Saccharomyces cerevisiae S288C: one gene and its partner. The gene in region 1 interacts genetically with each later gene. Each region holds a gene or a part of one and is shown in the gene's direction. Other genes may lie near its edges.

Region 1 (3,759 bases):
TGCCAGATGAACTTTAGAATTCAAAGTTACTTCGAATAGCCCATCTAAAGGATACATTAGATGAATGTTATTTTTCATTTGTAAATCCATGAACTTTTTCCACCAAATTTCCTTGCTATCGTTATCTTTGCATAACTTAAGTATATTGAGAAATGCATTAGTTAAAACGGCCGATGCAGAAACTGATTCCCCATCAATCTGTAAGACGTCTAATTTGGGGCAGTGGCTCAAGGAATCAATGAAAACTTGCAATATTTTCAAACCAATGCTATTCCAGTTCGTTTGAGTATAATATTCGTAACAGGAAAGGAAAAGCGAGACTGCCTCCTCATATTTCTTTCCCTGATAGTAAAGCAAACCTATCTCAATGGATAAAATATCTACTATCCTTTGACGCTTCCCTTCACATTTGTTGAAGAGAGAAAGAATTTCTTTGGTGAGAGTAAGGAAGTTTTCTTGGAAGACAGTTTCATCGACAAAAGTTTCTTTTAATAGATCAAATTTGTATTTAACGTCACTATTAGGGTAGTTTTTGTCCATTAGTCTATAACCACTTGTAGCCATAACACCTTGCACCCAGTTGTCGCGCTTCAACATTAATAACTCAGCTTTGATTTCACACAAGAGAGGATTTGAGACATTCTCAAATTCAAAATATGACAGCATCGAAGTTATAAAATAGTGCTTAAATTCCAATAATCTCACAGACTTTCTATACTCTATTGATATGGATTCAATAAAATTCTTGATTAGTTGAAATGCTCCTACAAAGGCGGTCAACGTCTGGTCCTCTAGTTTTAGAAGTCTTAACCTTCTAATGAAAAAATACTTATGCAATTGAAACTTATCGAGTGTACCTTCTATTATTATGGAGCCCAGTGATTCATCTGATTTAGAAGATGATTCAAAAGGTACCTGAAGTTTTCCATCCGGCATATTCATGTTTCTACGGAGTATTTCTTTTTTGATTTTTTGCAATTCCAGGCTGGCATCTTCCAAAATATTGAATACCACATATAACTCGTACAATTTTTCTCTTGTCAAAAGCTGTTCCTCAAAGTTATTTCCTTTTTGTAAATTGGCCAACGAATGTTGCAAATGTGTCAATCGTTTTTGAAAGATGCTCAGTACGGAAGCCTTAATCTTTTGGCTAAATTGGTTCCAAAACTCCTGCCTTTCTTTGGGAGATCTATAAACCGATCGAACTTCCAAAGTTTGTACATGCGGAAAGTCTTTGCCAAATTTCTCCATTAGGGATACCGATTTGAATAGGTTAGAGTCCACTACTTCAGAATTGGCATACAGTAAAATAATTGGTTTATAAATCATTTTTTCTCCTGTCGATGAAGATACAGATTCCAGATTTGGTAGCCACTGTCTCACAAGAGGCCGTACTTTGGCCCTGTATTGGTCGATAGAGATACAGTTCACTATCAAAAATCTGATAAACGGCTGTTCATCATTAGACTTGTCTGCCTCCCCTCTACCTTCTGGAATCAATTCAATTGGAAGCCTGTTAACCGTTCGTACAGTTCCGTCAAATGCCTTCCAATGTATATTGTCTAACGGTAAAATCTGCTGAAACTCTGGCCTCAGACTCTCAAATAAATCAAACGGGTCAAAATAGCTGACAGGAACCGATCCACAATATATTTCTTTATCCATCTACTATATTAGCATGTAAAAGCAAGTTCACTGGCTATTTTTATTGCTTTTATGCTCACTTTCTTTCAAAACTTCTAACTTGCACTTTTCACCATTTTCATGTTCCGCGAGCTGTTCTTAAGAAGTGAAAACAAAGGAATTTAAAATGCGAGAAAGTCTTTAGTCCTATTGACAAGTATATTGAACACGTTGTAAATTCACCAAGGGGTTAAGTACAAGAACCAATAAATCTATACTGTGAAAATATGTCAAAAAAAAAAGAAACCTTTACTCCAAGGGCAAATAAACTTAAACTGACGACCCCAAGAAGAAAACTGAAAATACTGTCATCTCTCCTTGACGCGGACGAGGATTCCAAAATGAAAGATCAACATGGGTACTCAAGGGTCCACAATGATAAATACAGAGTAGCAAAGCCTACTCAGCACTCGACTTTACATGAATCTATTTCCTCCAGGCGAAGCAGTCATATTCATAATAAATCCCTTCATGAAGATAGTGCGAGGGCATTAAGCTGGGTAGATTCTCTAATTAATAGGGGGAAAAGTATACTTACTACACTAGAAAAGGAAGATGCCTTGTTTGAGCGTAGTCTTGAGGAGGAAAGACAACGTTTTCAGCTTCATGACTCTTTAATGAACAAGTACACAGGAAACAGTAAATCTCATCAGCGACTAATCGATCTCAGGAAGAGCCAATACGGAACGGATACTTCTTTCCAAAATAATGATGAAATTCCCTTAGATAGTTTCATAAGTTCTCCCTTACCGGACGCTGAGGACGAGTCGTCCTCAAATATCGACTCCGATAAGGATGAAGATCTGGAAGGTAAACAATCTTTAATCAAAGATTTCGATCTTGAAAATGATGAATACGAGCTCTCTGAAGAAGAAAAGAATAGTGACGGCCAAAGTAGTCCTTCAATAATGATATTATCAGATGAAGAATATGCAGAGGAAGGAGCACTACAAGATGTATCGAATGATGAATATGCCGAAGAGGAGGGGCAAGTTGAGAGAAAGAATATAGGGCAAGAACAGGCAAATGTAGAGAATGCTACACAAATTAGTTCTTCTGATTCCAGTGAAGGACAGAATTATTCAGAGGGAGTAGAAATGGAATTAGAAGACGACATTGATGTGGAAAGCGATGCTGAAAAAGATGAAAGTCAGGGTGCAGAAGGAACAGAACATTCGGTAGATTTTTCAAAATACATGCAGCCTAGAACAGATAATACTAAGATCCCCGTTATCGAAAAATATGAATCTGATGAGCACAAAGTCCATCAAAGATATTCAGAAGACGGTGCATTTGATTTCGGTTCAGTAAATATTTCAGTTGACGATGAGTCCGAGGATGAAGAAAGTCAAGCTGAAAGTTACTCAGCAAATGCTGAAAATGTGTACCACCATAATGAACATGAACTGGATGATAAGGAACTAATAGAAGATATAGAATCTTCAGATAGTGAATCCCAAAGTGCACAAGAAAGCGAACAAGGAAGTGAAGATGATTTTGAATATAAAATGAAAAACGAAAAAAGCACGTCAGAAGAAACTGAGAATACCAGCGAAAGCAGAGACCAAGGTTTCGCTAAAGATGCTTATACTAAGAACAAAGTGGAACAACAGGAAAATGACGAAGAACCTGAAAAAGATGACATTATCAGAAGCTCTCTAGACAAAAATTTTCACGGAAACAACAACAAAAGTGAATACTCGGAAAATGTTTTGGAGAATGAAACTGATCCTGCTATAGTAGAAAGAGAAAATCAAATTAACGATGTTGAAGGTTATGACGTAACAGGAAAAAGTGTCGAAAGTGATTTGCACGAGCATTCCCCTGATAATTTGTATGATCTCGCCGCAAGGGCTATGCTTCAATTCCAACAAAGTAGAAATTCGAACTGCCCTCAAAAAGAGGAGCAGGTATCCGAATCTTATTTAGGGCACTCAAATGGAAGCAACTTATCGGGCAGGTCTTTAGACGAATCCGAAGAGCAAATACCCCTAAAGGACTTCACAGGTGAAAACAATAATAATTTAAAAACAGACCGAGGTGATCTTTCATCTTCTGTTGAAATAGAGGTTGAAA
Region 2 (3,076 bases), on another chromosome or scaffold:
CGTCACAAGCAGCTTCATCGTGATTCTCTCCTTCAGGTGGAAGTTCAAGAACTGCGAAATTTGAAACTTTGGGTAACACGATTGGATTTCCTGAAGACCTTTTGCCAATACCACAATGGCGTCCTCGTGGTCGTCCAGCAGTTCTGTGAACTTGGCCTGTATCTTGGGAGGATTGTGCAACTCGTACGGGTATGCGATTGATAGCAACGTTTGCAAGCTTTTCAAATACAAAGAGTTGGTTCTCTCAATATGAGGGTTGATTACCGCATTATACGGTAGCCTCTGAATGGCATTAAGCCGTTTACACGTCAATGAAAGCAACAGGTTGATTGTCTTGATCGTCAGCATGTACTCCTCCTTCTTGGTCAGCGGCGGCCTGTATTGCAGGAAATACTCGTAGTTTAGGGGCGCAATTGGTTTACTAGCGTAGTCCTGTATCAGCAGCTCAATGTTCGACCTAATCTTGTAATGCTGGTCGAACGACAGTTGCGACAGCAGCTCGTGTGAGGGTCGCTGGCGATGTGCCCAGCGCATTCCCCCACATTTCCATGAACGCATAATCTTCCACATACTACCGTGAAGGCGTCTTGATACCACGTCTTCCAGTTATGGTCTTGACTCACCAATGTTCTCAGTTTAATGTTGTTTGCTTCATACTGGCAGACATTTTCCCTTATTACCGTGAGAAGCGAGCGGTGGATTAATCGGGATGTCAAAAACAAGAAAATTGCAACCTTCTTCACCTATAACCTATATGATTTGTAGGCAGAGGAGTGGAATAAGCAACAAATCATAGTCATCAATGTCGTTTAATGCCTTCGCCAGCTCTTTGAGCAAGAAATTACAGGAAATATCCACAAGTGTTTCCGAAAAAACCCAGGAATTGCCCAGTTTGGCGCAATCCACCCAAAGAATGGTCCAGGAACGTTTGGGCCAGGTGACGGACATCTCCCAATTGCCAAGAGAGTACACAGAGCTGGAAGATAAGGTTGACACCATCAAACTGATTTACAACCACTTCTTGGGTGTAACTGCTATCTACGAAAACGGATCGTACGATTACCCTAAATACATCAACGAATCCGTCAACGAGTTTTCAAGAAGCGTGGCTTCCAAGTTGACAGAGTTGACTCATGCTACATCTGCGTCTGAGGCACAAAACATCTTAGTTGCTCCAGGCCCCATCAAAGAACCCAAGACGTTGAACTACGCCCTCAGTAAAGTGGCTTTGAACTCCAGTGAATGTTTGAACAAGATGTTCCCCACCGAGGAACAACCCTTGGCTTCGGCACTCTTGCAATTCAGTGATGTGCAGGCTAAGATTGCTCAAGCTAGAATTCAACAAGATACCTTGATTCAAACCAAATTCAATAAAAATTTGAGGGAAAGGCTCTCTTTTGAGATCGGTAAGGCCGATAAGTGCCGCAAGGATGTCCATTCCATGAGATTAAGATATGACGTGGCAAGAACTAACTTGGCAAACAACAAGAAGCCAGAAAAGGAAGCTTCCTTGAGAGTCCAAATGGAGACTTTGGAAGACCAGTTTGCTCAAGTCACTGAAGACGCTACTGTGTGCTTGCAGGAGGTTATTTCTCACGCTAACTTCAGTGAAGATTTGAAGGAATTGGCCAAGGCTCAAGCTGAGTATTTTGAAACCTCGGCTGGCCTAATGAAAGAGTTCCTATCCAACTCATTTGCGGAAGAGCCGGAAGCAAAGCCTGAGGTTGCAGAAGAAGAAAAGCCACAGACAGCTATCTCTATGAATGACGAAGACGACGCTTAATAGCCGCCCTGTTCTTGTCTTTCTCTCTCCTTCTCTATATATATATATTTACTTAATACAATATCATATTCTCTAGTGTCGTACGAATATTATCATTTATTTGCTGGCTTTTGTAGTGAGTATATTTTTTGTAGAGAAAATATAATTACTGGAAGAGAAAAAGCTACTGAAAAAAATTTCGTAACAGTCACCAAAGGGCAAAGTGAGCAACCCAAAAATGGACGCTACTCAACCGCAATACGAACTATCCGTAGTAACACAATGCCTAAAGTCTGCCATTGACGTCATCCAATGGTTGATTCCTACTATTACTAAGTTCAGCCAATCACACCCGTTAGTTTTCCAACTATTGTTTATTTTCTTCACATTTTATGTCTTTTACAAGTTGTTGATGAACTTCATTACTCTGGTCAAAAGATTCCTGTATTTGACGTTGGTAGTAACATGTATCGGTATTTATATGCGTGGTTCGCAGCAGTTTTTGACTGTGGACCTGTTGAATTTCTACAATTTCGTCATGTCAAATAGATACTACGCATTTAAAATTTATACTCTGTTTATTAATGCCCTGGAAAGAGAAATCAACACTGTTTATCATTTGGCGCAGATGAAAATGGAACAGTTGCTTAAATAGAGCGAAACGCCTCTGCTTACTCGGAACATCTTAAAGTAATTACATATCTTAATTTCTAAATATTCATATAGATAAAGAACGTTTTTTTTGCTAGATTCCTCCCCTAGTCACTATCAAATATTGAGCTATTTTTGGTGACTTGTGTTTTCCAAATTATTCATTACAATTGTGACTTGATTTCTGAAGTTTTAAGAAAAATTGCAAACTAAGTTATTACAAGCGATTTATCCGGTCGCGATTGAAGAACTGAAAACAACAGCAGCAGCATTGTACCAAGAATCCCAAGATGCTCAGGTGTGCGGTCAAGAAGTTTGCATATTTTGCCACCTTCCTCACTATCGTCGCTAATATTTACATCTATACTTATCCATCTTTCCATCCAGAACAGTGTTCATGGAACTGCTCTAACAAGAACGCACCACTACAGAAAGATTTGACTTTTGTGGACAAAGTGAAGAATTACTTCAGTGATGTTCGAGAGCAATGGCATGGTAGCCATGCCTCTGCAGGTAACGATGAGGATATTCATATTTTGGCCTTCGGTGATCCTCAGATTAAAGGCATCTGGCCAAAGACGCCATATGTGTCCCGATTAGATACATACGGTAATGACTACTATCTTGGTCACATCTATGATATGATGCAGCAGAGACTGAAGC

Evidence for each region. A genetic interaction does not mean that the proteins touch.
Region 2: mutations in ESC1 (region 1) and APQ12 together harm fitness more than expected from each alone (negative genetic interaction), as found in Saccharomyces cerevisiae (5 studies listed by BioGRID).

What each region holds. Positions count from the first base shown.
Region 1 is NC_001145.3:705,223-708,981, forward strand, and holds the start of ESC1 (Esc1p), read left to right. Parts: upstream 1-1,910; coding exon 1,911-3,759. Other genes in the region: transport protein particle complex II subunit TRS130, read right to left, coding at 1-1,665. UniProt on the Saccharomyces cerevisiae protein: Involved in the clustering of telomeres at the nuclear periphery, forming discrete subcompartments that accumulate a complex of histone-binding silencing factors like SIR4. Required for SIR4-mediated anchoring and partitioning of plasmids.
Region 2 is NC_001141.2:275,723-278,798, forward strand, and holds APQ12 (Apq12p), read left to right. Parts: upstream 1-2,000; coding exon 2,001-2,417; downstream 2,418-3,076. Other genes in the region: protein kinase PKP1, read right to left, coding at 1-570; GVP36 (Gvp36p), read left to right, coding at 803-1,783; TED1 (Ted1p), read left to right, coding at 2,704-3,076. UniProt on the Saccharomyces cerevisiae protein: Involved in the regulation of lipid homeostasis in the endoplasmic reticulum, thereby impacting nuclear pore complex biogenesis and localization, and nucleocytoplasmic mRNA transport.